Linked DNA regions of Sus scrofa. The protein of the gene in region 5 purifies or fractionates together with the protein of the main gene of each other region. This does not show direct contact. Links are inferred from orthologs where the notes say so. Each region holds a gene or a part of one and is shown on either strand. Other genes may lie near its edges.

Region 1 (4,044 bases), on a different chromosome or scaffold from region 5:
AGAAAGTGTGAAAAGAGCTGACAGCGCACGTGTACTGATGTGTGAAAGGCGGAAGTCAGAGACCAAAAAAGTTTGAGATGTTTGGGTTGGAAGATTCAGGGAAGTGTGATGACATCCACCTGATGAGAGATGTAGGAAGAGGAAGGAGGATGGGGTGTTGTAGGGCCAGGAGAGCGGTGGCTTATTACCAGGTACACTGCGTCTGTGTTGGTGGCTTTATGTCCCTCTCTCTCTGTGTTGCCTTTCTTCTAAGTGTTACTTTGCTTAATATTCTCTAAGTATTGATTCTCCTGTTGGATTCAGAGGCTTTAGCCCAGGAAAGGTTCTGGGATGGATTAGTCTGCCATGCACAAGGCCTGTGAGTTGGTCGCATTTAACACTTAGTGCCCAGTGCATGCCAAGTACTGTTCTAGGTACTGGGACACAGCAGAGAACAAAACAAACAAATAAGAAAGCCCCACTCCTGTGGGACTGATACCATCATGGCTGGAGAGAGACCATGAGCGTTTATGTGCTGTGGTAGATGTGTATGTCATGCGTTTGCCATCCTGCTGTAAGGGTCGGTGAGGTTCCCAGGGTGAACAGGACCTCCCAGGGCAGGACAGGGAAGAGAAGGGAGGGATGGGAGAGGTGGACACTAAGTGGATCATATGTCAAAATGCCTTTGCCTTGTTCTAGTATTTGCCAGAAATGTGATCGTGTGAGTAACAGAAGTGCCCAAACGTTATAAAGATTCGCTTTGTTTTCTAGGTATTAAACCGCCTGACTTTTGCATCTACTCTTTCTCACCTTCGTCGTTTAAACTCTCCCATTGGTAGAGACGGCAAACTAGCGAAACCAAGGCAGTTGCACAATACATTGTGGGGAATGGTGTGTCCTGCTGAGACCCCAGAGGTAATGTGCTCGCATTTGTATCCCAGACAGAAAGTCTGAGAGGGGTTATGTTAGGATATAATTACTTTAGAAGTAAATTTTAATTTAATTACGTAGTATATTTTAGAACCAAAATATTATTTATATTTTTGTTCTTAGGAAGTAAGAGTACATCCTGAAGGACAAATATTTATGGAGAGAATTTTGATAGGCATGTTAAATCACTGTGACTAATATGTACTTTACTTATCCCAAGGGCCACGCTGTAGGACTTGTGAAGAATTTAGCCCTGATGGCTTATATTTCAGTTGGATCTCAACCTTCTCCAATTCTAGAGTTTTTAGAAGAATGGAGTATGGAAAATTTAGAAGAAATTTCTCCTGCAGCTATTGCTGAGTGCGTATAGATACAATTCTTTAGACACTGTTGTTAGCCTTTGGTTATTGCTTAGAGTTATTAAGTGCAAAATGCCTTTGGTTTTGCATTTTAGTGCAACCAAGATCTTTGTTAATGGCTGCTGGGTCGGAATACATAAAGATCCTGAACAACTGATGAACACTCTAAGGAAACTGCGGCGCCAGATGGACATCATCGTGTCTGAAGTAAGAGTCTTGAATTAACCAAGAGGGTGTGATCTGTGGGATTTCCAAACAAGGCACAAGACTAGTGAAAGTTATCTTTGCATTGGTATCTTTCTTGAATGAATTTCTTTTCCTTTTAATTGTTAAGTTTATTGTCAAAAGTCTAGGTGATATTTAGAGCTAAATTTAAGTGTAAGGTATTGCTTGCTTTAATGCCTTAGATATGCATCTAAAATTTTGATGGGTAATATAAGTTATTAAATTACACTTTAGAATTCAAATTACATTTTAAAGTAAAAAATTCTTTTGAGAATCTTTTTGTAAAGCTGACAGTATTACTTTTTTGATTATTATTTTTTAATTACTCAATGAATTTATTACATTTATAGTTGTACAGTGATCATCACAATCCAGTTTTATAGTATTTCCATCCCACACCCCCAGCGCATCCTCCTACCCCACAAACTGTCTCCTTTGGAAACCACAATTTTTTTAAAGTCTGTGAGTCAGTATCTGTTCTGCAAAGAAGTTCATTGTGACAGTAATGCTTTTAAAAGGCATGATCAGCTCTGATTTCTCCTTTGTCTGACTCCAAAGATTCATTCATGCAATGCGGTTGACTTTTATCAGATTCTCTTAGATTTTGGTGGGTGCTGACATCCTCTGGATTAGGGTGGATTTTTTTTTTTTTCTTTTTTTCTTTTTATGGCCATACCTGCAGCACATGGAAGTGCCCATGCCGGGGGAATCCAAGCTGCAGCTGTGGCCTACACCTCAGCCATGTCAACATGGTATTTGAACTGCATCTGTGATCGACACCACAGTTTATGGTAACATTGTATCCTTAACACACTGGCGAGACCAGGGATTGAACCTCCATCCTCAGAGAGACAACATCAAGTCCTTAACTTGCTGAGCCACAATGGGCATTCTTGGATTTTTTTCTTTTTTTTAATCATTAAAATGTAGCGTGAGCTTTATTTTTCCCCCAGATAGGGCTTTTGCTCTTAGGGCACTGCCTTGAGGGATAGGGCTCAGGCTTTTGATTCTCCTAAAGCTACACCTTGGGGTCTGTCTAGGTGAAAGTGGGTCAGGAGAGGAAACTGTAGCACACTTAGGCTGGCCTCCTGTCTACATGGCAAAGTAGAGAACTGAGGTTCGGCTGCTCCAGGCCTTCCTCAAGTGGGCAGACCCGGGGTTTCTCGTGGGTGTATTCGTAGCTTGAAGTCAGCAACAGGATGCCTCACTTGGGGGTGGGCAGGGCTGCGAGAAACCCTAAGAATCAACAGCGGCTGTGTTTTTGTAACTGAGAACCTGGTTCATGCCATGTGTATCTGCTGAGAGCTGCCTCTAGCTTTTCTGTGTTCTCTAGAGTAAATTTAAATTTTTTATGTTGTTTTAGGGCTCTTTCCCTTAATGGGCCCCTCTCTCAGCCTGGAATGCCTTTGCTCTCTGTCACCCATACCTCCTGAAAAATGGGCAAGAGAAAAGGGTGCCGATTACCGTTTTTAGGTAAATGTCACTAATTCTGCTGAGTTCTAGTAGTAACTCATCACCTTCAGGGTGTTTTACCTGGCCCCTCAGTTTGATTTTGATTAGAGATCGATAGACATTTTCTTTGAAGGGCTAAAGATTCAATGTTTTAGGCTTTGTTTACCTTACAGTGTCTGTTGTACATTCAGCTCTGCTGTTGAGAAAAGTAGCCATAGACAATTCATAAACCAGTAAAACTTTATTTACAAAAATAGATAGCAGGCGAAGGCGGATTTGGCCTGTAGCCTATTTGCTGAGCTCTTGATTTAGATATTTGTGACCATATGTAGCATAATTTCCTTAAAAAGTAGAATGCTTGAGTTCCCTTTGTGGCTCAGCAGGTTACAAACCCAGCTAGTATACTTGAGGATGCAGGTTCGATCCCATGCCTTGCTCAGTGGGTTAGGGATCTGGCTTTGCTGTGAGCTGCGGTGTAGGTCACAGATGGAGTTTGAATGTGGCTGTGGCTGTGGTGTAGGCCAGCACCTGCAGCTCTGATTTGACCCTTAGTCTGGGAGCTTCCTTATGCTGCAGGTTAGCCCTAAAAAAGAAAAAAGAATGCTTATCTCAGGTAGTAACTATTGATTTATTTGCCTCTCTCATTCACCACGGTGTTAACTTCTCAGCAGCATGGAAAGTGTCTTTATAGGGCTTTTTGTATTTTCAGTTCTGAACACGGTGCTTGACGTGTAGTGTCTGACAAGGAGTGAGTGTTGAACCTATAAATGGACCCTGTGTCTTTCAATTAGGTTCTTTAATCTTCCACTGGAAATGGAGTTGGAAACCTCTAAGTGGGAGCATTGTGTATATTTTTCAGGAGTCTCCTACTTTTTCTTTACCTTCCTATTTTCTGATAACCAGAGGTCACCATGTTACCCATTTCTGACTTTCGCCTCAGTTTGGACCTATCAGGCTCCTGTCATCAGTCCTTCAAGAAGACCTATTTTCTTTGGTATTCTTTTTTTTTTTTTTTTTTTTTTAATTTATTTATTTATTTATTTTTTTGTCTTTTTTTGTTGTTGTGTTGTTGCTATTTCTTGGGCCGCTCCCACGGCAT
Region 2 (4,769 bases), on a different chromosome or scaffold from region 5:
TTGCTCACTCAAGCTGCTTGTAGGGTGGGTATCTTGGGGTCTTCACAGCCTGTGCCTGAGGCTACCAAAGTGGGAAGCCTGGATGGAGGCCCATGGCAGACACGAGGAGCAGGCCCTTGAGAGCTGAGCCAGGACTGTGTGGCAGGGGGAGGGGAGGGGCAGGAAGGGAGAACACACATTCTCCAGGGTTCCCTGACCCCTGTCCCTCTCCTGGATTCCCAAGGTAGGAAGGGACACAGATGGTGCCTGACGAGGTGGCACCAGCTGCCAGACCAGCCATGCCATGCCCAGCTGCCTCACAGCTGTTCCCTGTGTGTCCAGGCCTGGGAGGAGAGAAAGGACAGAGCCCTTTGGGGTCAGGCTGCACCTTACTTTTCAGCTCCATGACCCTGCAAATTAACCAACCACAAAAGGGCCACAACCCCACTCCTAGGGCAGATTGCAGGGCTCCTATTACAGTGAGAAGCTTATGACTTTGGGTAGGAAGCATATTCCAAGGAGGTGGCTCTGGGCCTGGGCTCCAGACTGTTGGTTTCCCTCAAGCCTCTTACCTAAGCTGCTATAGGTCCCAGACTGAGAATGCCACCCCATGCATCATAGGGTGCAGGTGCCCCTAAAAAGTCAGCTGAGGTCCTGAGAAGCATCCAGACCCTTAGGGAATGCCTACCAGACAGCATGCTAGGTGCAGGGGTTGGGTGATGAAGAAGACTTTGATGGCACCCTGCCCACCATACCACCTGCCTCTTCCTGACCTGTATTCTGGATCAGGGGAAAAGGTAGTACCAGGAGCACAAAAGGTCTCTGTGGGATGAGGACTTGGGGTACGAGCTGGGTTGGGCACCCCAACACACCAGATACATACCACTCCTCCCTATGCCCGCTGAGCATCTAGAGACTTCAGCCAAATGGTCAAAAGCAATGGAGAAAGGACAACTGCCTTGATAATGCTGCCTGTGTCCCCCAGGTCCAGAATCAGGACCACAGACTTTGGAGATAGGATAGTTTTTTTTTTTTTTGGTCTTTTTCTAGGGCCTCACCCACAGCATATGGAGGTTCCAAGGCTAGGGGTCTAATCGGAACTGTAGCCACCAGCCTACGCCAGAGCCATAGCAACGCCAGATCTGAGCGGCTGGATCCTTAACCCACTTGGCGAGGGCAGGGATTGAACCCGCAACCTTGTGATTCCTAGTCGGATCTGTTAACCACTGAGCCATAGCAGGAACTTCTGGATAGATCTTAAAAACCATTTCTATTCCAACTTCTTTACCTCAGAGTTGAGGAACCTGAGACCCTGAGGGGGAAAAGTCTTGCCATGAGTCAGAGTAAGCTGGAAACAAAGGCAACACCAAAATCCAGGCTCCCCTGATAAGATATCTACTAAGCACCCCCTCCCACTCTTACTTGCCCTTCCCACCCCCACTGTGACGTGTGTCCAGCAGAGATGCAAAAGGGCGGCCTGGGACAGGCACTGAGAAAACAAGTTCTCCTCTTAGCCCTTCCATCCCCAGACCTGCCTGCATTTGGGGGAAGGAGATAGTAGTTTCTAACTCATCAGGGGTAAGGTCGGATGACCCACCTCCTCCCCCATAGCTTCTTGGGGGCACTCTGGACCCTAACATGCCCTGAGAGGAGGCCTCAGGGTCATGACTACCCAGACTACCATGCCTCTGCCAGGCACCCACAGTTCCCAAACACTCTAGCTTGGAGACATCAGAACCACCAGAGCGTCTGTTGCTCTCAACCTGTTGGGGGTCCTGGACCTCTCCAAAGGGTGGCTGGAAGTTATGGGCACACAAAACAACACCCCACACTCATGCTTAATTGCGCCCATAGTCCCCCCTCCCTGAGTCCACCCGGTCTCCCAGCAAGATAGCTCCTTTTATAAAAAGAGAGGCCGGTCAAGGGCCAGGGCTTCCTTCCCCGGGCCAGATGCTGAGCCCCATCACCGGCAGCGTCCTCCCACATCAGAAGGAAGCATCCTCTCCAGGTCACTGCTTCTCACTCCCTCAGCAGGTCAAGGGGTTTCACCTGGACCTGACTCTGCTGGGAATAAGAGAAAAACCACGGCGACTACAGCCAGAAGGCAGGCCAGGAAGCCAGGTGAATCTCAGGAATCTAGGCACCCCTTGGCACTGCTCCCCACCCATTTCTGACCAGACTGGCCTAGGAGATGGCAAGGGGTCTGTGCTCAGGTTGGGGCAATGCCAAGCCCACCTTCCAAGCAGGCCTTACTGGAGCACAGGGGAAGCTGAATCTCGTTTCCAGTCATCAGGCCTGGGGACGCCTCAGGGGAAGATGCCCAGGCTCAAGTGGCCCTGAACACCAGGCCCTGCAAAGGGCCCCAGCCTTGGGAGCCAGGGGCAAGGAGTCCTAGGAGTAGCCACCCCGTCAAATGCTCCAGAGGAAACAGTATCCAGACCCCCCCTAGCCCATCTGCCCAGCTCTCTGCCCCTTGCCCTCCGCCACCCCAGCGGGCGTGCAGACCATGCGAGCAGCAGGTGCAAGACGCGGGGGTGGCACTGAGATGACACAAAACCTCACTCGCCCCCACCTCCTAAACCCCGACCGGCCTCGCCACAGCCCTCCTGCCACCCCAGGCTGGCGCTTCCGTTTGGATATGAGATGGAAGCGGGGGGTGCAGCCAGCTGCCCGCCTCCCTCTGACTGAGGGGTGGGAGGCGGCGCCGGGAATGTCCTTTCTCGCTTGTCCACGGACACGAGGAAACTGGGGCCCCCAGGACGGCCCTCCCGCCAAGGACGAGGCTCGGCAGCGGCCGGGGCGGGGGCCGAGGCCGGAGGCCGCAGCCCCCAGCCCCGCCCCGCCCTCCGGCCCCGCACGGCGCTCCCGCCAGGCCCCGGCGCCCGCCCGGCGGCGCCTCGGTGCGCGGTCCCGCCCCCGGCCCGGCCCCGCTTACCCGGGGCGCTGCAGTCCGCACACACCTCCGCTCGCGGCCCCTTCCGGGACATCCTCAGCGGCGACGCGGCCGCAGCCCTCTGGGCCAGCGTGGGGGGCGCGGGCGGCGGGCCCGGGCGGCGGCGGCCCCTGCTGCCCGGCCCGGCTCCGGCAAGGCCCCGGCTAGGCTCCGCGCGCCCGGCCAACCGTCCGCCCCCGGGGCTGGCCCGGAACCCGCCGTGCCCGCCCGCCCGCTCGCCCTCGGGCGCCCTCCGCCCCGCGCCGCCCCGCGCCGCCCCGCCGCCGCTCGCCGCTCGCTCTCTCCGCCCCCTGCGCGGCTCTCGGCCGCTCCTGCAGGAAGCGGCGCAGGCCCGGCCCACCGGGGGAGGGGCAGCCTGCACACCCGCCCCACCGCCGGGCCCTGCCGGCCGCGCCTCCCGGAGAAAGGAAGCCGGGAGCGCGGGCGGGAGGGGGTGGGGGCGTTTAAAGGGGCCGCGGCCGCCGCCGCCGCCGCCGGGCCCGCGCTGCAGCGTCGCCTGCGCCCTGCACTGGGCTCCGGCGCGCCCCTGTCCCTGAGGCTGTGCGAGCTAGCCCCACAGCCCCATCCCCTTCACTGAGACGGAAGCTGGCCCGGGGAGCTTGAGCCCAGGGACAGTGACCCCTGGGGATCAAAGAAGAGAGTAAGGAGCTGAAGGCCCAGGCCCCCCTCCTCATCCAGAGGCTGTGGTTCGGGGTAACGTTCCTGTCTCTGTTTGGGGTGAGTTGTGCGTCCTGGTCCGCTGTGTGTTCACATCTGTGTGTCCAGGTGTTTGTGTGGTCACACTCTTGTTGACTACGCACACCGCCAACAATATGGACGCCCAAGTGCCAGAGGTCATGCAGTGTATACCCCTGCCTCCGAGCTGAATAAACATCTATCCCTCCTCCCGGCTTCCATCCAGAAATGAAAGAGTGTGGACTGTTTTTGAAGACCTCCTGAGCAGTGACCACTGTGCCTGTGTACAGTAATACCCACTTGGCATCGGTCTTGCATACATCATTGGTGTTTCTGAGCCACGGGAAGTCTGCGTGTCCAGGGCACAAGCATATAACATACAGGGGCCTTTTTTGCGGTGGTTTTTCCTCCTGGACTTCACACAGAGACTCGTTGGAGGATGGGGGACAGGGAGAGGAGGCAGCAGGCCACACGTGGGTGCACCCCAGCACTGAGCATGCTCCCCCATACACGTGTGCCCCACGTGCACCCAACCCCCATCTTGCAGCAAGAAAGGCTAAAGCGCTGGGTTTGTGGAGAGAGGGCAGGGGTGCTAAGGCCCAGGCCCAATGGGTCCTGATGAAGTGGTGACACGATTAAAGGAGGGTTCCCCAGTGGCAGGCGGGGAGTCCTGCTTAGTAACAAGGGGTGGGGGTAGGAGGCGAGTCCTTGGGCAGGGGTGCAGGAGTTGGTTGATTTTAAACCAGCGGTGCCAGAGCAGCAGTGACTTGTGGGTGGGCAGGCTGCTTCCCTGGGGGAGACAAGTAATGCTCATGAGTCACACCACCCGAAATACATGCAAAGCTGCCTCCATCGCCTTTCTCTGCAGCCCAGATTGACAAGTTTGTTTGAAATCGCGATCCACGGGGTATATTTATAATCGCACCTTAAAAAAATCTCCTTGCAGTCTTCCCCTCCCCCCCCGTAGCCAGCCGTTCAGCTTGCAGGGCTTCTGGGAGCAAAGATACCTCGCGGTGGGGGGGGGGGGGCACCACCTGCCGCCCGGTGCTGCACCCCCCACCCTCAGGAGTCCGTCCGCCGAGTTGGTGGTCCCACCCCTGGCGATGGGAGGAACGGCCAGGAGGCACGCGCGCGCGTATACACACACACACACACACACACA
Region 3 (4,044 bases), on a different chromosome or scaffold from region 5:
AGCAGAAGTTTGCCTCCTTGGGTATAACACCTGTTTCTGATTTTAGTTCCTCTGAACGCAGGGGTGTATGGCTGGTGGCCCCCCTAATTGCCAGGCTGCCAACTTCTGTGCAGGGAAGAGTGTTGAAAGCTGCTGGGGAGGAGCTGGAGAAGGGACAGCACTTGGGTTCTTCTTCCAAAAAGGAGAGAGACAGACAAAAACAGAAAAGGTATGGCTGCTATAGGTGTTTCTATGTGAGTGTTTAAAGAACAGTTGAGAGAATCCAGTATCCTACAGATATACATCCTTGTTGTACCCAGAGTCTACTGAAATTTCATCTTTATATGAAATTGAAAATATTCTATTAGGCAAAGCTCTGTTTCCTAAAAGATTTCGCATTATAATACTCAGTACACTAGCTCTCCCTTCTGCCTCTGTACCCTAATCACTGCTGTGCTGTTAAAGGCTTTTTAGCCCCACTTCAGACCTACTGAATCAGCTTTGGATATCCACTTCATCCTGTATTCAACAGGTTGTTTTTTTTTTTTTTTTTCTTATTATTTAGGTACTTAGGTTTAAAATTCATGCAATTATTTATAATTCTATCATGCTGGACCCTGAAATAGTTACTAATATTTTTAACATTTAGGGCTCTTGTTCTAGACTACACACACATTAACTTATAAGCCTCCAAGTCAAAAATTTTTTTTAAAATTTTATGCCCTAGAAAATGTTTCATATAATTATTTTGGAAAACTGACCATGTTACTGAGAAAGAACAAAAATATGCTCTAATGTGAAAGCATGTTAAATTTAGCACACCAGGAGTGAGAAGAAATTTCTAATGTTAAAAAACAAAAATTCCGATCATACAGATTTCTTGTCACCTAATTAATAGTATTTCAGTAGTTGCCATTTAATGATCCCTTATAAAATGTCAACCTATGTACCAAACTCATTATATGCATATGTGAACTTTTAAAATCTCACAGCAATCGTATTGTGGTAGATGCTCTCATTATATCCTTTTTATAGGTAAAGAAACTGAGGCACTGAAAGGTTAAGTAAATTTCTCAAGGACACATAGCTAAAGAGGTGTAAAGTTGGGATTGAAACCCAGGTGGTCTGGCCTCTGAGTCTGTGCTCTTAACTAAAGTACATTTTGTTATTTGACATAGCTTTGTGTGTATGTTGTTTGGTATCTGGTTGTTCTGTCATCTTTGCCCATATTTGTTAACCAGTGAAGTGACACAGTTTTAATTCTCAAAGTTTATCTGCTAATGGGCGATGGCATGTACTTCGCCTCACTTCCTGCAGGGAGAGCAGATGGAATTGCAGAGTTTAAAGATGGCTCTTCCCAAGCTAATCTCTCTTGGCTATGCTGGTGTAAGATGAAGCAGATTGAAACATTATGACCTCCATCTCATTTTAAGGAATTTTCTTTTCCAGTGTAGCAAAATTAGTTTATCAGCATGATTTGTCAGTTGTTCCTGATCATGGAAGAAAAAAATGCTAAAATGCCAATTTAAAATGGAGTTTTTCCCCCCAAATGTCTTTAAACTCCTTTACACGTTAAGCCTGTGGGATGTGGCAGAGTACTGGGGATCACTAGCAAGCATACTGGTTTGGAGTCCTCCTTGGAGGAGTAGATGCTAATTTTAGCTCTACCAATACCCAGCTATTTGGTCTTGAGAAATGTGCTATAAATAAATAAATAAATAAATAAGCACAGAAATCATATAAGGCCTATTTCCTGGACCCTAAAATAGTAATACTAAGTGACAGAAATTTAAAATTTTTTCATTTTTCTGTGTATGAAGTGATATTCCTCCTGATGTGTATCTTTTAATTCAGTTTACTGATAGAAACTGCAAAGTCTCTTCTTCTTGTTCCCCCTCCCCCCATACGCACTCATATGTGGTATGAATTTATGCTAATTTGGAAATGCCTTTCAGGGCAAGAAAACATATTAAATCTAGAAGCATTACAGTGGCTTTTTAATCTTATTAGTTAGAGATATGATTTAACTTTTCAAGTAGTCTTGGCTATTTACTACTCCCCTCCCTTTTCTAATAGTAAAATAAATAAGAGCCGATAACGCGAGGGCAAGAAATAAGTGTTGCACAGAAAGTAATCCATTCTTTCTAACTAGATCTCCTGTTATTACTTCCTTCGTAGTATGTCTCTTTTGAGTCAACAACCATTCCTCTCACTGGTCCTTACCTGCCTGAAGGGACAGGATGAACAACGAGAAGGCCTCCTAACATCGCTGCAGAATCAAGTTAACCAGGTAAAGTGCAGTAGAATACTAAGCCAGGCAAGTATGGTTCTAATGGCATTCATTTGTTTTCCTTTCAAACAAACTGACATTAAACTCATAAGAGTGCAATGTGTTTTGCTTAGATGCAGGAAAACAATTCCCACCCTGTTCTCCTACCTGTGTTCTTATCACCATGAGATGAATAGCAGTATAATATTAATTATGTGTTGGATAAATGTCTGTATACAAGTAACATTCTGCATATTGCACATAACTTTGTTACAAAGTTGTTGCTCCTCTCCTGCCCCTGCCTCCTGGGAAAGGTCCTAGAGGAATCAATATTGAAGGAGGCCTGGCAGTAAGACAAAAGGACCTCTTGCCAGGTCCTCCGTTGGGCTTCCACTTATCAGGAAGGGTCTCAGAGTGAGCTCTGTAAGTTCAGAAACTCATCTTAATTTTACTGCTAGAGCCAGACTGTTGCTGGTCAAGTGTACAAGATACTCATTTATGAATCAGAAGCCATTCTGGTTCATTTTCAAAGACTTTTTGAATTTTGCCTTTGCACCATCCACAGTTCTGATTACGATTTAGAGCACAGGTATTCTGTGTACCACAAGGAAACTGAGTGATCAAATTGGAATTTGAAAGTATAGAATGGAGCAGAGTGGATAGATTGGTCATCTGGCATGTTTTATCCAGCTGTAGAGCCTAATGGAGTCTATGTGGGACTATGATTTCAGTGACACAGTGTCTTTTCCTTGAACAGTTCTGGATGAACACGAACAAGATACTTAACTTCTTGGGGATCTCTTGTCATCTGCTACCTTCTGGATATGTGAAATCTATTCTCTATATAGTAGGCAGAATGATTGTTTTTAAGTGTAAATCACAAATTTTTCCAGTGCTCCAAATGCTGCAGTGTTTCTTACTATTCCTAGAATAATAATTCCCAGTCTGAGCCTATAAGCCCCTCCACAATTTGGCACCAGCTCCAACCTCTACCTGGTTTCCTGGCAGTCATGGGTCTGCTCATTCTACTCTTTTCACAGTGGCCATGTTGCTGTTCCATGAACTTGCCAAGCAAATTCTCACTGCAGAGTCTTAGAATCTTTTCTCCCCTCCCAGGGCAGCTCCTTCACTTCCTCAGGTCTCTGCTCAGATGTCACTTCCCTAGGTGCGCCATCCCACTCCCTCATGCTCTAAAAGTAGGACCAGTCATTGTCTGTCCCCTGGTTCATGCCGCTTGTTCCACTTATTTTTATTTGCCTGATACCAGAATGTCAGCTCCATGATACTTTGTGCATTTTGCTAACTACCTTTCCCCGTTTACCTGCCTTGGGGGAGGTGCATCCCTATCTTTTGACAAGATTTGGGAAGTGCTCTCCTTTAACCTCGCAGTGACTTACAAGTCATCTCTTGGGCTCGGTTACTTCTGCAAGTGATTCATTCAGCTCTTTTAAGATGATTCTCCTTAAGTGCCATATTTCAGGGCATGGCAGTGAGGCTTTGGTTTGTTTTTGCTCATGTCAGCTGATTGTGGGTGTTCCCTACTTGTGGTTCACCTTCCCTAAGCAACCTTTCCTTTTCTCCAACAATGGTGTGAAACAATGAGGAAGCACTTACTTAATAAATTAATATGCCACTTGACTGATATGCAAGATGTCACATTTTTCAAAATGGTTCACCTTTATCAAGGAAGACAAGGTTATCGGCTAGCAAGCTTCCCCTTCAATGAAACATCAAAATAATACATTTCCTAGGACTCACAGCATGTCCCTAGAACTATAATACAAGACTGATAAAAG
Region 4 (4,540 bases), on a different chromosome or scaffold from region 5:
CAGAGGATGAAGCTGGAAAGCTTGATGGAACCAGATCAGAAAGACCCTCTATGCTAAGTTAAAGAGTTTGGGTTTTTTTTTCCCGGAAGCAAGGGAACCAACAGAGATATCTTCTACCTTTCCAGGGCACCCTGAATTCCTGGTCCAAAAGATGCCTCAACTTTCTGGGTAGGAAACACTGATTTCCTTCTAATTCAAAAAGTTTAAGTAAGGGAGGGAAAAACACATCCAACACCGTGTGGTCCAACTTATACGCGTCTGGCTGTACACGACTGTGGTCCAGAGCCTTTAGCCTCACTGGAATCCACTCAAGTAAGTAAGCTAGCATCTTCCCTTTAAAACATTTTAATCATCCAAAGCTTCCTTATAATTGGGCTTTTTAAAAAGCACTGTCACCTTTTTTTTTGTCTTTTTGCCTTTTCTAGGGCCACTCCCGCGGCATATGGAAGTTCCCAGGATAGGGGTCCAATCGGAGCTGTATCTGCTGGCCTACACAAGAGCCATAGCAACGCAGGATCTGAGCCACATCTGCAACCTACACCACAGCTCACAGCAATGCTGGATCCTTAACCCACTGAGCAAGGCCAGGGATCGAACCCTCAACCTCATGGTTCCTAGTCGGATTCGTTAACCACTGCGCCACGACAGGAATTCCATTAGGAACTGTAAACTTATCTTAAATATGTAACAAAAGATGTTAGAATAGGAAGCTCAGTTTTGCTTAGACCACAACACAAGTCAAGGTCTGGTGAAAGGCGCTGAGAGAAGCACATTAAAAAAATAAATAAAAATAAAAAGAACTGTCTCCCCATTTGTCCTAGTTACACATATAGTCTGAACACTAACACCTAACAGGTGATTTACCAGACCAGCTGCTCTAGAAAGCTTCAAGTAATCTGCGCGCACAAAGGTGCTTCCACTTCCACTCCCTTCTAAGAGCGTGGATTTATTCACAAACATCTACTGAGTCCCTGCTCTGGGGATAAAGGAGTGAAGAAAATGCCTTAATTCTTTAGTTTCTGACCTCTGGACAGACGGTCCAATCACAAACTGTGATCATGGTATGAGGAAAAGCACATGTTGCTATGTGAAGCCATAGCAGGAGGACATAATTCATATGTAAACAAAATTACATAAAAATTTATACACAAAATTCTTCTAAAATGTGACATTTGGGAGTTCCTGTTGTGGCTCAGCGGGTTAAGAACCTGACGTTGTCTCTGTGAGGTTGCAGGTTCGACCCCTGGCCTTGCTCAGTGAGTTAAGGATCCCCAGCAATGGGATCACAGATGCAGCCTGGATCCCATGTTGCCATGGCTGCAGGCATAGGCCTCAGCTGCAGCTCGGATTCCACCCCTAGCTCTGGGAACTTCCATATGTCACAGGTGCAGCCATAGAAAGAAAAGAAGTGACACTTAAAATGAGACCTAAAGGATGTTCAAAAGCTTGCCAACTGAAGCAAGGAGGAGGTATTCCAGGCAGAAGGGAAAGCTTGTGTGAAGACTGGAAGACTCTGAGGCTGTAAAAAATTTAACGTGTTCCACAAGCTGAAAGGCTAGTATGGTTGAAACACTGAGCAAGGGGGAGAGAATGAGATGGGGCAAGATGGGGAGGCTAGCACTGGATGATGAAGGGCTCTGAAAGCTGCGGTATTGAGCCTACATTTTCTCATAAAGGTAGCCAGAGGATTCTAAGCAGACTGGCATCATCAAATGTGGCTATTTTGGAGATCAATGACCCAGGATGGAGAACGAGCTGGGGGGGAAAAGAGATGGGGCTACTCCTATTTGTTCATCACTGCTACCCTAGCATCTAGCATAGTGCCTGCATAGAACTTGCACTCAGCAAATGTTTGTGGTATGAATGACTGCTAAAACAGAGCAGGCTAGGAGTTCCCATTGTGGCGCAGCAGAAACCAATCTGACTAGGAACCATGAGGTTGAGGGTTAGATCCCTGGCCCCTCTCATTGGGTTAAGGATCCCACGTGTTGAGGTGAGCTGTGGTGTAGGTGGCAGATCCGATCTGGTGTGGCTGTGGTGTAGGCCGGCAGCTGTAGCTTCGATTCAGCCCCTAGCCTGGGAATCTCCATATGCGGCGAGTGCGGCCCTAAAAAGAGGCAAGAAAAACAAAAACACCAGAGCAGGCTATTACAGTAACCAAGGCTTGGAGCTGAAGGAAAGTGTTCCGAATTGTTTGGTAAAGTCGAGTTGATAGGACTTAGTAAAGGATGAATGAAAGTAGGGGTTTGGAGAGGAGTGAAGGAGAGTCAGGTAAGATTCCCATGCATCTGGCTTGAGCCAGATGTATGGTTGGAAGGGATGGTTGAATGAGATGGATCGGGCCTGAAGAAGTGGAGAGAGAGGGTTCGCAGCCGACTACCGGATTCTCTCCCAACTCCCACCGCACGCTCATCTGAGGAACACTGGGTATAAAGGCCGAATTGAGTTCCCTGAAGATGAGAAGGACGTCGCGCTCTCGTCCCCCCACCATCCCCACCACCACCCTGGCTCTGGCTCTACGCTGGCCGCTACCTCCACCCGCGCGGTGTGGAGAAAGTTAGGAAAAGCTGGGTGATGGGGCTGGTTGTCTTCACTACGTAAACTCCTTGAACTTATCTGAGCCGCAGTTTCCTCCTAGGAGGGTTGCGAGCGTCAGAGCGAAAAGCTCGAGGCCCAAGCCCGGGTAAAACCGCTCCCAGAGTCGGGAGGAATTCCCACATTTCTTTCGCCCTGGGACTGCTTTTCCTCGGGGCGCGGGCCTGTCAGGCTCTTCCTGCCCCGGGCCCATCCCCGACCCGAAGTCACAGCCTACCTGTCCACCCCGCAGCGGCAGCGCCTGCGGCTCAGGCTGAGGTCCGCAGGCAACTCCCCTCTCGCGTCAGGGCAGCCGGTACCCAGCCAGCCAGCTTGCCTCAGCCGCTGCCACGGCTACAAGACCTGTTTACGCCTAACGTCACTTCCGGGCACAGGAAGCACTTACACCCATCCAGCTGGCAGAGCATGCTGGGAGACAGAGGCCTGGGAAGAGGGATGGCTGCCTACAAGACCCAGAGGTCTTTGCGCCGGAAAGTCGGCCTGAAGTAGGTGTACGCTCGCTGCGGAATACTCTTGGGGGCTCCTCCCTCCGCCCTGATTGGGTGCTATGTCTGCCCGGCCTCACAGTCTCAGGCCCTGGCCGCCTGGGGGCGGAGTCCGGGGGTGGTGAATGTGAGTTTACCGCCCGAGATTGCTGGCGGGCAAGCGGTGGTCTAGGGGCGGCGCGGTGTCGACTTGCAACCCAGCTGAGAGGAGAAGCGCCACCAGGGAGGGTGAGAGCCGAGTCTGCCCATGCCCTAGGGGAAGGGATGGACGGGTCCTGGGCTGAGCCAAGAGAACCCTACCCGGTCCTGGGGAAAAGGCGTGGGACGGCGAAGGGAGGTGGAGATCTCAAATCCTTTGGGTGGGTGTTAGAGCCGGTCTCGGTTTCTCGGTGGTGAGGCGGGGTACGGGTTGAGGAAGACTCTACAGTGGCCACAGAGAGGTTGAGTCTCGCTAAATTTCCCCAAACCCTTTGGCTGAAGCATGAGATTTACACGCTTGGATTTACACCCTTGGATTTCTGCTAGATTCCCCCCTCTGTAGGGGATCGGCTCCTCCTCTCGCCATGCTCCGTGTGATGGGTTTCTCGGACCTTCTTTCCTTAGGACCCCACTTCTATCACCGCCTTGTTTGTTTGGCCTTTATTCGGCTTGGGTTCCCATTAGCTTCACCGAGCGTGACACGGATACGCCCCTAGCATCCCCAAATACCCACACACAAAGTCCGGAAGGAAGAGCACTGAGGCTCTCAGTGGAAACTTCATTCTCACTGGAATTACTTTCTGGGGCGTCACCTGCCACAGGATTCCAGGAACCCATTGGCCTGGGCGGAATCTGAGCGGGTGGAATCTGGGCTGATGTCATCCATGGGCTCAAAGCAATTGCTTTGTAGGAAAAAGAAGAGATTAGCTTGGATTTGTCTTCCTCTGTTGGCAGCCGCTGTTAAGGGGTGGATTTATTCCTTTGGGGTGGGCGGAGGAAGGTAAGGTGACCTCATACCATTCAGGTTTACTTACTGATTGGGCAATCCGCTGGTGGGGGCTCATCTCATCCCTACTGAACCAGCCACCAGAGGAATTCGGCATTTCATACAGCACCTGCTCTGGCGCTTCCTTGGACTCTCTTCACAGGGACCTACCTAAATCTTTTCAGGGACAATTTCAGTCTAACACACTGACATATTAAATACTTCAGAATGTGCATAGCATTCTGCTAAGCACATTTCTGGGTTAGACTTAGAGGAGATGATGATGAAGTCATTTCACTTTTTTTTTTCTGACTCCATCACCACCACTGTAGTCCAGGTCTTCATCCTCTCTTGCCAACTCTTCCTCCGTCTGCACCCTACAATCCATTCTCCTCACAGCAGCAGAATGATCGCAGATTCTGTCACTCCCCAGCTCTAAACCCTACACTCAATGCCACTGCAATTAGTATAAAACCCAAACTCTCCAATATGATCC
Region 5 (3,323 bases):
TCTTGGCCAATGAGTTTTCCAGTTTTTCTTGGTTTCTCTTTGTAGTTCCTAGTTCCTTTTTACAGTAATCTGTATTTCTAGAGTTCCCATTGTGGCTCAGCAGATTAAGAACCTAACTAGTGTCCATGAGGATACAGGTTCAATCCCTGGCCTCTCTTAATGGGTTAAGGACCCAGTGTTTCTGTAAGCTGTGGTGTAAGTTGCAGATAACGGCTCAGATCCAGTGTTGCTGTGGCTGTGGTGTAGGCCTCAGCTGCAGCTCCAATTTGACCCCTAGCCTGGGAACTTCCCTATGCCAGAGCAGACAGGAAAAAAAAATAATGTGTATGTGAAATATACCTGAATATGAAAGTTAAATGTGCTTAATTTATAAGATGACTCTTCATTATATAACATACGATATATATATCTCCTGTTAACTTTCCAGAGTTTTTTTTTTTTTTTGCTTTTTAGGGCTGCATGTGGAAGTTCCCAGCTATGGGTCTAATCAGAGCTGTAGCCATTGGCCTATACCACAGCAATGTCAGATCTGAGCTGCAACTGCAACCTACACCACAACTCACAACACCACCAGATGCTTAACCCACTGAATGAAGCCAGGGATCAAACCCGCAACTTCATAGTTCCTAGTTAGATTCCTTTCCACTGAGCCACAACAGGAACTCCCAGAGTATTTTTTAAAACCCAAATTCTAGGAAACATTGAGACCCAAGGGTTTTGGATGAGTGGTTATAAAGATGTACAGATAACCAGGTAAGCATGTACACAACAATTTGATTTGAGATACAGTGGTAAAATTCCAAACAAGTGTATTTATTTACAAAAAATACAGTAATTACAAACAGTACAAATTGAGGCAAGTTCTCCTGTGACAAAAGCTAACAGCCTTCACTTTCAAATGAGTTTTCTGTTACTCTGAGCTATGTTGCATTTTCAGCGATCTACTGCCTTTTGTTTACGCTTTTCATAATAACAAGAGGTCTATTAGTGATGTACATGGGTCATGTCCCTCAAATCTTATTTCCAGAACTACTATGTACAACTCCAACTAAGATGGCACTGAACTGACTAATCTTTTTATTCCAACGGTAAATTTTGTTTTTCTCTATTCCCCTAGTGGTTCAGAAACGAAACCATGATTTTTGGCTTCAAAAAGTCCACAATAATTTTTAACGATGGCACACTTTCACTACAGTATCACCTGGCTTTTAAAGGTTTGCTGCTGTTTAAGAAGCCGATTTCTATAATATTCAATTCTGTATGCTTTTTTTGTCACATTTTCTTTAATCAGAGTCACTGCTACTGCTTGAGGAGTCTGTTGACATGACCTCTACGTCATCTTCATTTTCTTTATTGTGCCCTGGAGGCTCCAACAAAAAGTCATTACTGTGATTTGGTGGTAACATATTCATTGCCATATCATTTGACTGCCACGGATACTGGGGGGCAAGAACATCTGAAGAAAAGAAAGCCCATGTGAGAACATTTCAACTCAATTTACTTCTTAGTTACTCTTTCCTTCATGCAAATAAAATGAAGTAAATTTTTAAGGCTGAAGTCTAAATACACATTTGACCAAATTAATGAAAGATCAAATATATCAAGGAAAAATGTGATGTTTTAGTAACCACAATCTGTTTATTTTTTTTTAAATCACACTTTACTATAGCCACTATTCATAGTCAACTGCCATTAATTTTCCTTTTACAAGACATTCACAATTTCCAAATATTTCATATGTCTGTATATATTTAAGCACATATAATAGGTCATATATACTACTCTCCATATATTCCCTCGTGATATAAACAGCTAATATATGTACTATACTAAAAAAGGGGCCCTGTATCTATTATTACTGCATTTGAAAAATACAGTTCTTGGAGTTCCCGTCATGGCCCAGAGAAAACGAATCTGACTAGTATCCATGAGGATACAGGTTCAATCCCTGGCCTCACTCAGTGGGTTAAGGATTCAGTGTTGCTGTGAGCTGTGGTGTAGGTCGCAGACTCAGCTCAGATCTGGTACGGCTGTGGTATAGGCCAGCAGCTACAGCTCAGATTCAACCCCTAGCCTGGGAACCTCCATATGCTGCTAAATGCTCCAAATGCAGCCCTAAAAACAGACCAAAAAAATACAGTTCTCTTTACCATCCAGTAGTTAGTGTATTGTTACTAGTCAGTAATTCTTTAAATTCTCCTTGTTCATATTGCTAGTGTGGTTTCTGCCTCCTGCCTGGATTGTGAGTGGCTTATGTCATATGATACGGTATAGTCACAATGAAAAATGTGATTCCAAGGGAAACTAATGCCCAATGAGTTCTCAGTTTACACCTTGAATAATTAACAAAAATGGTGCTTATAAAAAGCATTTTTAGTAACAGAGGGACAGCCTTACAATGAAATGTCATGCATTATCTAGAGCATTTATAACAACGTTAAAAATACAGGGGGGAGTTCCCGTCATGGCACAGTGGAAACGAATCCAACTAGGAACCATGAGGTTGCTTGTTCGTTCCCTGGCCTTGCTCAGCAGGTTAAGGATCTGGCATTGCCATAAGCTGTGGTGTAGGTCACAGACACAGCTCAGATCTGTGCGTGTGGACCAGCCGCTAGACCCCTGGGAAACTCCATATGCCACAGGTGTGGCCCTAAAAGAAATAACAAACAAAAAACGGGAATAAACGAAATATGTAAAATACTAAAAGTAATTGCTCAAAAAAGCAATTTTTTCATGGTTTTAAAAAAAACTTTAAAAATATTCTGCCAGGTCAAAAATAAAACAAGTCGCCAAAAAAAAAAAGAAAGATAGGGAACGTAAAATATAACAACAGTACAAACCTGTATGTGAAGCCTGAGGAAGGGTGAAGCTCAGTATGAGTCTCACAAAAATGACATTCTATTTAGTTACAAAAAAGTCCATAAAAAGCTTTGTTATTCACTTTGTTAATTTGAGGGTTATTCATAAGAGTGTTCACTTGGTATTCTTTAAACTGAACATACATCTTACTCTGTTTATAAAGCATGTTTCATTTTAAAAAGCTAAGTTTAGGGCTTAGTTACTGAGAAGTCTAATGCCGGAGGAAAATGACACATTAATAAATGAGAAAAAAATTCAGTTTCTTCTAACTTCATAATAACCTCCATTTTGAACAATCTTTAAGCTGTTAGAAAGTAGAGAGCAGTTGGAGAACCTAGCTACTAAAATGAGCTGGGTCCAGACCCTCAAACTTGTTCAACAGCCGTATATCTGTCGTCATCATGACGTCTACAAAAACAAGTGTGAAAGCCTTATTCTGGTAACTTACCTGGCAGCCTGCCTGC
Region 6 (4,044 bases), on a different chromosome or scaffold from region 5:
TCTTTACTCATGTCCTGTTATCTTTCACAATGGATGAGGTTCTTCAGATACCATGTTAGCTTAGTACCCACATTTTACTTTGTTGTTACTGTTTTTTTTAATAGCTGAACCTGCAGCATATGGAAATTCCTGGGCCAGGGATTGAATCCAAGCCACAGTTGAGACCTGCATTGCAGCTGCAGCAACACTGGATCCTTTAACCCACTGCACAGGGCTGGGGATCAAACCAGCACCTCTGAAGTGACATGAGCTGCTGTAGCAGTCGGATTCCTTTTTTCTTCTCTGAAGGCCACACCTGCAGCATATGGAAGTTCCCAGGCTTGGGGTCAAACTGGAGCTACAACTGCCAACCCATGCCACAGCTCACAAAAACACCGGATCCTTAACCCATGAGGTGAGGTCAGGGATTGAATCTGCATCCTCATGGATACTAGTAGGATTTGTATCTGCTTAGCCACCACTGAAACTCCCTATAATCGGATTCTTAACCCACTATGCCACAGCAGGAACTCCTACATACTTTGTTTTGCTTATGTGAACAAGATTTCTTTTTTCATGCATTACAGCTACTTAATAGTGATTGTAAAAAATGGTAGTTACACTCAGGTCACAGTAGTTTAGTTACACTCTGGTTGCAGCAGTCATCGTAGTAGTCAAAAATCAACAGATTTCTGTAATTTCTTCTGGAGTTCATTTTCTGAAACACATTAGTTTCATTTTCTGAAACACACATTCAGTCTGCTGTAACAAAATGCCTGAGACTGGGTGGCTTACAAACAACAGAAATTTAATGTTGGCCCTTCTGGAGGCCCCAAGTTTGAGGTCGAGGGGCTGGCGGCTTGGATGCTGGTGAGAGCCCTCCTCCTGCCGTGCCGTGTCCTCACATGGTGAGGGTGGGGTGCTCTGTGGGGTCGCTTTCAGGGCCCCCTCCCATTCCCCAGGGCCCCACCCCCTGACCTAAGTGCCTCCCCAGGCCCAACTTCCTGACGTACCTGCGCAGGTTAGCGCCTCACAGGTGAATTCAGAGGGGATACAGACAGTGAGGCCACAGCACATTAGAATCCACAAACTGCTCAGCCACTTTCCTTGTCCATGAATGCTCTGCTCCTCCTCCACTCATCCGGGACTGCCTGCAGAGGGCAGCGTGTGCCCCTGTGCACACTAGCGCCCATTCCTCTCTCCATCCCATCAGCCTTGGCAGAGACGAAGATCACACCTGATCACACGCTGCCGTGGTGCACTCTGGGCTGGGCTGATAGTCCCTTCTCACACTCGGCCTGTCAACCAGTTACCACCCCACCTGTTATAACTTTGGGAACCACAACCATAAGGAAGAAAACAACTCAGGCAGAGTCATGGTTTGGTTTTTTTTTTTTTTTCCCCTTAAAATCCCTACAATCAAGAATAGCCAAAGAGCCTGTACTTCAGAGTAAGTCATCAAATTAGCCTGTTGCCACTGCCCACTTACAAACCCACCAGAATGAGTTACACAGTCAACACAGAAGGAAGGTAGAAAGACTACACAGCTGTCACCTCCCTTCACACAAAGCCTCACAAATACTAATCCACAAGACAGCTACTTACAGCAGTGTATCAGAACTGTACTAAAACGGCCAGCTCTGATGGAAACATTTTTGAGTCCTTCATTTCCTTGTTCACTAGCAGACCTCGAGCCCCACGCCAGGCACAAAAGACACAATGGCAACAAGGCAGTGAGCTCACACACCAGAGCAGGGGCCATGTCAGAACATCACAGGCTCTGGAGCTATGCTGTCTCTGCTGCCGACACTCAGCTCTGTCCTTGTGAGGTGACAAGAGACAACAGGAAACAAACGAGATGTGTTACAAACCAGGTCTGGCCCACAGGCTATAGTTTGCCAACACCTGCTCTGGCGGGTCAGGACCACATGGTAAATGCAACGACAGTGAGAGCAAAGGCTGCTATGGTAACACGATCTAAGAAAATCAACAAAGGCTTCTGGGAAGGGCAACAATCTGGTCCACCACTCATCTTCTCTAATTCATCCATTAGAGTCGGTTTTGATAATGTGCCACCAATTTAAACAACTTAAAAGCTCATTCTGAAAAGGCAAAACATATTTATCTATGAAAGAACTGCCTCATTTCAGAGTTCTCTTCTAATTGTTTATAAGAAATTAGACCAGAAGCACATCTGAAAGCTTACCTTGAGTGACTGTTTTGAGAACAATTAAAGTTGATGGAAATCTCAACGGTAAACTGGAGCTCTTAAAGAAAGCAGCTGTCTTTGGTTTATTCTCCACAGAATGTTCTGAAGAATTACCCTGAATTCCTTTAGTCACCACTCCTTTGAATATATCTTCACCTAATCTCCTCAATGTTGATGTCATAGTCGAATGCTGTTAAAAATATGCACTATCTTAGTACACTTATTCATGTTCAGAAAATATATTTCTTAAATACCATAATCAAATATATAAACTAAAAATAAATCAATCTTTTGCTAAGTAAAAAAAATTAAATGTAGTTGAAAATATGCAAGACTGGAAAGATTAATTTTATAATCAACTTAAAAACTGAGAGTTCCTATTGTGGCTCAGTGGTTTAAGAACCCAACCTGTATTCATGAGGATGCCAGTTCCATCTCTGACCTCACTCAGTGGGTTAAGGATCCGTAATTGCCGCAGATGAGGCTCAGATCTGGCGTGGCTGTGGCTGTGGTATAGGCCAGCAACTATAGCAATGGCTCCCATTCAACCCCTAGCCTGGGAATCTCCATATGCCATGGGTGCAGCCTTAAAAATAAAAAGAAAAAAAGGTGTATGACTACATCTTTCTCTAAAGAAATGGTTAGAATTAAGGAATTAAAAACGGTAATTTCCTAAGAAGGAAATTAGAGAAGAACTAAGGCAAGATTCAATTTCAAAGCATTTAAGAGCGGATCATGGCAGACCTCGGGCACAGAGCAGTCAGAAGACCCAGGGGGCCCCTGCCCCCCACACGCCCCGCTGCTGATACAGGGCCCTCGGGGTGCAGCTTGTACAGTGGTCATCCAGGGCCTTGCTGCTCTACGGCTCAGAAAGACTAAATGTCACGATGATTTTGATAAATTTTAATGATTTCAGAAAAACAAAATACTGCTTTAGAATCACGGATAAATTCTCATGTTGAATAAACTAAAACAAGAAAGTGAGCAAAACAGAAATGATGGCATATGATGCCTCTAGAGCAACACAGGCTCCTGCTGTGTTCCACACATCCCTAAGAAGCCAACCCAAGAAAACCGTGCACACAGCTACCCATGAGGGCACTTAAGCCAGGCTCAGACGTGACTTATACCCCTTATCAGAACCAGTTCTCCGACCCACACCCCTGAGTTATGTGACGGTTGCCCCATCTTATGACTTTTAACTAACTGGTATCCAAACCAGCACTGCTCAGGCAGCATGGATAATGACCATCAGCTTCGGAACCTCTGCAGAAAATTAGAGACAGACCTACTGAGATCTTAGGGTCTCAAAGGCCAAAGGACGTGGTGGTGAGCAGCACAAGCAGTGCAGTCTCATTTAAACGTCTTGCCCATGAGGTTCTGATACCGTTTGGAAAAGATAATACATTTGTGCTTTCAAGCCTCAGTGTAAAAAGATGACAGAAGGAAGACAAGTGGAAGAAACAAAGAACAATTTATCAAACAGAAAGCTGGCACTGATATCAATAATCACTCTAAATTGCAATAGGCAAAACAAACCAACTTAGAGAGAATGTCAGAGTAAATCAAAATATGAGACCCCTACACCCTGTCCACAAAAACCCCACTTAAACGTAAAGACACACACAGCTTAACAGTGCATGTATAGACAGACTGACCACGCTGACAGTAACCCCAAGAAAGTGGGCAGAGCCAACCGCATTTCAGCAAAACAGGCCTCAGGGCAGGGAAAGTCCCCAGGGAAGGAAGGCAGCACAGGTGACAAAGGGTCAGTTTTCCAAAAGACACACCAGCACCTGGGGTACAGCGAGCACGTTTCAGATACAGCGCCAAAGGCACAACCTGCGAGAAACACT
Region 7 (3,824 bases), about 15 Mb from region 5:
GTCTTGGGTGGTCTCGTCTGAAAGCTCTAATACAATTGCTTTAAACCTCTTGAGTACATTAAATAGCAAATCTGTGTTTTTCCTTTCAATCTCAAAATAAAATTGTGCTTCCACGGAAATATCAGCTCATTTAAATTAAAGTCTCACCATCCCAGCATTTCATCTGCATTTTAAAATATTCCACCTCCTTCTGTTTTCTAATTGTGTCATCTCTCATGGTCTCACATGTCTCCTAGTTTCTTGGTTTCCATAGCGTGGTCCTAGCCCAGCAGCACCGCAGTCACCTGGGCAACGCTGCAAGTGCAGGTGCTTGGCTCCTGCCCAGATGTGCTGCTCAGCAGCTCCGGAGTCACTAGGAAGTGCTCCGGGGACGCCTCCGATGTGCTTCAAGTCTGAAAGTGCTGCGTGTTAGGCCAGAGGTGGTGGGCTGAGGGCGCACCTGTTAGAGGGCCTCTTAAGTCACACGTTAAAGGCTCTCGTTCCTAGAATCCTCAGTCCCTCATATTTCAACGAAAAAGTGCTGAATTTTGACATTAGTTTCACCTTTCGGTATCTCATTACAACAACAGTAATAATACCAACACCTAGAGAGCGCGTTCCCCACGCCTGGCACCACTGTAATTGCTTTTCGTCATTCTGAAAAGAAACATGATAAAAGGTACTGTTTCTAAGCTCCATTTGGCAAATGGGGTTACAGAGGGCTTAAGTAATTTGTTCACAGTCACCCGACTCATAAATGTCAGGTCAGGATTTGAGGCCAAGCAGCGTCTCTGCAGAGTCCCCGCCGATAGCACCTGGCCTTGCTGCACAGGTTCTGTACCGGGTGCCGTGTTTACATAGCCCCGGGCGGCAGTGCCAGAGATGGCTGTCTGAGAGCCGTGCTGTTGGGAGGGTAGCCGCTGAGCTCTGGAAATACACCTGATATGACTGAGAAATTGACTTTTTTTTTTTTTTTTTAATTAAGAAAAAAATTTTTTTCTAGGGCCACAACTGCGGCTTATGGAAGTTCCCAGGCTAGGGGTTGAATAAGAGCTGTAGCCGCCGGCCTCCACCACAGCCACATCATCTCGGGATCCGAGCTGCGTCTGCGACCTACACCACAGCTCACGGCAACGCCGGATCCTTCACCCACTGAGCAAGGCCAGGGATTGAACCTGTGTCCTTATGGCTACTAGTTGGGTTTGTTTCCACTGCGCCACATGGGAACTCTGAAAAATTGACTTTTTAAATTTAACTTGGTTTTAATTAATTTGGTTTTAACTCTAAATAGCCACATGTAGCTAGTTTATTCTTTGGGGTATAATGTTTTCCCCTTAGTAGAAAACACAGGCATTTTGGTCCTGTTCTAAATTGGACGTGGCAGTTCAGATGGTGTAGGAAAAAGGTCTTGGTTGAGAGTAAGAAGACGTATGTTTAGTTACTTCTTATAGGAGAACCGGGTGAGCTGATGATTATTAAAATGACTCGTGTGAATGACTACATGAAATTGAAAGGTTTTTAGTTTTTAACTGGGGGGAATGAAACCCTCTGAACTGTGGTGTTATTGATCAAAAACCGTGTACCTCCCACAAATGTGCCAAAAGGTAAAACTTTGAGAAGTAATGCAGTGATGTTTTTATGATTTATGGTTTCAGCTTCAGAAATTGCTTACCATGGACCCAATAAAGCGAATTACCTCAGAACAGGCTATGCAGGATCCCTATTTCTTAGAAGACCCACTTCCTACATCAGAGTAAGTGATCAGTTTATTAACTCACCAGCACAATAGAATTTTTTGGTGCGTGCTTTTTTTTTTTTTCTTTTTTAAAGCCACTTCTGTGGCATATGAAAATTCCTGGGCCCAGGCTCAAACCCATGCCACAGCAGCGCGGGCACTGCATCCTCAGCCCACTGTGCCGCCAGGGAGCTAGCTCTTGGTGCGTGCTTTTTTTTAGCTGTCAATGCCAGGTTGCTGCTGCTCTTGTTCGGGGACTCAAAGAAATCCTTATGACAAGCAGAAAACGAGCTGGTGACTGAGAGCCGTCAGGCTTTTACAGCGGAGAGACGCTGCTGCCCTGCTTGCTGCCCGCGGCCGGTGGCGGCGGTAGTCGAGGGCGGGCTGCTCCCACGCACTGGCACTCCCTGGGGCTCTGAGCCGGCGCACTGCTTGCACTTAGTTCTGTGTCCCAGTTGCAAGCCCCACCCCAAAGAAGTGTGTGGTCCCCATACATTCCTTCTTTTTTTTTTTTTTTTTTTCCGTCTTTTTGCCTTTTCTAGGGCCGCACCTGCAGCATACGGAAGTTCCCAGGCTAGGGGTCCAGTCGGAGCTGTAGCTGCCAGCCTGCACCACAGCCACAGCAACATGGGATCCGAGCCACATCTGCAACCTACACCACAGCTCACAGCAACGCCAGATCCTTAACCCACTGAGCGAGGCCGGGGATTGAACCCGTGTCCTCATGGATCCTAGTCGGGGTGGTTAACCACCGAGCCACGGTGGGATCTCCCATTTCGTGCATTTTGGATGCAGTCTGGAGGGTAGAATGCAGTTTTGTTGAGTCATGACATTCCAGCTGCGATCTCTGCCTTGGTTGTGGTGCTGAAGGAGCAGTGCCGACATAAAGGAGAGCCGAGGCCCTTTGGATGGTGCCTGGGGGTGCCGGTGCTTTTGTTCAGTCACTGGTTGGGAGAAGACACGCACTGCCTCGCGGCTGCACCGGCAGGGAGGCGGAGGCTGTCTGAACGGTGAAAGCGCGTTTGAGACGCTGATCAGCGCGCCGGAAATCGTTGTTGTCTCTTCTCTTTCCTGGGTCAGCGTTTTTGCCGGTTGTCAGATCCCGTACCCTAAAAGAGAGTTTTTAACGGAGGAAGAGCCCGAGGACAAAGGAGACAAAGTAAGTGTCAGGGTGCGGGGCGGCTTCGTGCGTTTCTGCTGGGGTGCCGCCTGCCTTCTGCGGCCGCGGCCGCGGTTTGCTCCCCTCTGAGTTGCTCTCTCTCTTTCCGTTTCACCAAATTGAGAAGAACCAGCAGCAGCAGCAGGGCAATAACCACACTAATGGGACTGGCCACCCCGGGAACCAGGACAGCAGCCACACGCAGGGCCCCCCGTTGAAGAAAGTGCGGGTTGTTCCTCCTACCACTACCTCAGGCGGACTCATCATGACCTCAGACTATCAGGTACGGCCGCCCGCAGCCCTGCATGGGGGTGGTGGCCCCGGGGCCGCGGCGGCAGGAGCACAGCGCCAGCCTCTGCTGCTCGGGAGACGTTGGCCTGGGGGGTTGCTGGCCTGCAAAGCGCCAGGCGGTTCTGTCGAGGAGGCTTAGCCAGGCGTGGAACGGTCGGACCGAACGGCGCCCCTGTTAACCCGGTGGCCTCGGTCAGGTCCTAGACAGGGCCTGGCTTTGGCGTCTCCTCCGGAGCACGAGCCGCGGGAAGCCACGTGGGGGCGGGTGGGCCTCAGCGCCCAGCGTCCAGGAGGTGCCCAGGAAGTGCCGTCTGTCGTCTGAAACCACGGCAGCTAGGGACGCGGTTAGGCCTGTGGGCAGCCTTGAGTGGGAGGCTGGGGCCCTCGGCTCCCGCGTTGGTAGGATGCGGTTGGTGGTAGGTGGTAGGTGAGGCTGTGGTCGGGTTAGAGGAGAGGGCGCGAGCCGGCCTGGCAGGCGTTTGCTGGATGATCACAGCCCCTTTCGTCATCGTCGTCATCGCGGGAGCTCAGGCCCGCGGCCAGCACTCCGGTGCTGGAGCCTGTGGTCAGAGCACTTCACGTGTGCGCTGTCCTGCCGAGCCTGACACAGACGTGGTTTCCTTCCGACGTGATGGCAGCCCGAGGTGGGTGTCAGCGGCC

Evidence for each region.
Region 1: the proteins of MED4 (region 5) and POLR2B purify together in Homo sapiens (affinity purification with mass spectrometry; 3 studies listed by BioGRID and IntAct, with this or other methods). This does not show direct contact. The link is inferred for Sus scrofa from reciprocal best matches to the Homo sapiens genes MED4 and POLR2B.
Region 2: the proteins of MED4 (region 5) and GIT1 purify together in Homo sapiens (affinity purification with mass spectrometry; 3 studies listed by BioGRID and IntAct, with this or other methods). This does not show direct contact. The link is inferred for Sus scrofa from reciprocal best matches to the Homo sapiens genes MED4 and GIT1.
Region 3: the proteins of MED4 (region 5) and MED12L purify together in Homo sapiens (affinity purification with mass spectrometry; 3 studies listed by BioGRID and IntAct, with this or other methods). This does not show direct contact. The link is inferred for Sus scrofa from reciprocal best matches to the Homo sapiens genes MED4 and MED12L.
Region 4: the proteins of MED4 (region 5) and IFT20 purify together in Homo sapiens (affinity purification with mass spectrometry; 3 studies listed by BioGRID and IntAct, with this or other methods). This does not show direct contact. The link is inferred for Sus scrofa from reciprocal best matches to the Homo sapiens genes MED4 and IFT20.
Region 6: the proteins of MED4 (region 5) and CCDC138 purify together in Homo sapiens (affinity purification with mass spectrometry; 3 studies listed by BioGRID and IntAct, with this or other methods). This does not show direct contact. The link is inferred for Sus scrofa from reciprocal best matches to the Homo sapiens genes MED4 and CCDC138.
Region 7: the proteins of MED4 (region 5) and CDK8 purify together in Homo sapiens (affinity purification with mass spectrometry; 9 studies listed by BioGRID and IntAct, counting the BioPlex papers as one, with this or other methods). This does not show direct contact. The link is inferred for Sus scrofa from reciprocal best matches to the Homo sapiens genes MED4 and CDK8.

The regions. Positions count from the first base shown.
Region 1 is NC_010450.4:56,256,449-56,260,492, forward strand, and holds part of POLR2B (DNA-directed RNA polymerase II subunit RPB2), read left to right. Parts: intron 1-750; coding exon 751-894; intron 895-1,129; coding exon 1,130-1,269; intron 1,270-1,363; coding exon 1,364-1,475; intron 1,476-4,044. UniProt on the Homo sapiens protein: Catalytic core component of RNA polymerase II (Pol II), a DNA-dependent RNA polymerase which synthesizes mRNA precursors and many functional non-coding RNAs using the four ribonucleoside triphosphates as substrates.
Region 2 is NC_010454.4:45,780,531-45,785,299, forward strand, and holds the start of GIT1 (ARF GTPase-activating protein GIT1), read right to left. Parts: upstream 3,088-4,769; 5' UTR 2,967-3,087; coding exon 2,915-2,966; intron 1-2,914. UniProt on the Homo sapiens protein: GTPase-activating protein for ADP ribosylation factor family members, including ARF1.
Region 3 is NC_010455.5:91,564,979-91,569,022, forward strand, and holds part of MED12L (mediator of RNA polymerase II transcription subunit 12-like protein), read left to right. Parts: intron 1-46; coding exon 47-208; intron 209-2,157; coding exon 2,158-2,269; intron 2,270-4,044. UniProt on the Homo sapiens protein: May be a component of the Mediator complex, a coactivator involved in the regulated transcription of nearly all RNA polymerase II-dependent genes.
Region 4 is NC_010454.4:44,613,721-44,618,260, forward strand, and holds the start of IFT20 (intraflagellar transport protein 20 homolog), read right to left. Parts: upstream 2,964-4,540; 5' UTR 2,813-2,963; intron 1-2,812. UniProt on the Homo sapiens protein: Part of intraflagellar transport (IFT) particles involved in ciliary process assembly. May play a role in the trafficking of ciliary membrane proteins from the Golgi complex to the cilium.
Region 5 is NC_010453.5:19,564,385-19,567,707, reverse strand, and holds the end of MED4 (mediator of RNA polymerase II transcription subunit 4), read right to left. Parts: coding exon 3,308-3,323; intron 1,457-3,307; coding exon 1,284-1,456; 3' UTR 793-1,283; downstream 1-792. UniProt on the Homo sapiens protein: Component of the Mediator complex, a coactivator involved in the regulated transcription of nearly all RNA polymerase II-dependent genes.
Region 6 is NC_010445.4:47,501,419-47,505,462, reverse strand, and holds part of CCDC138 (coiled-coil domain-containing protein 138), read right to left. Parts: intron 2,379-4,044; coding exon 2,186-2,378; intron 1-2,185.
Region 7 is NC_010453.5:4,155,162-4,158,985, forward strand, and holds part of CDK8 (cyclin-dependent kinase 8), read left to right. Parts: intron 1-1,634; coding exon 1,635-1,732; intron 1,733-2,794; coding exon 2,795-2,873; intron 2,874-2,997; coding exon 2,998-3,156; intron 3,157-3,824.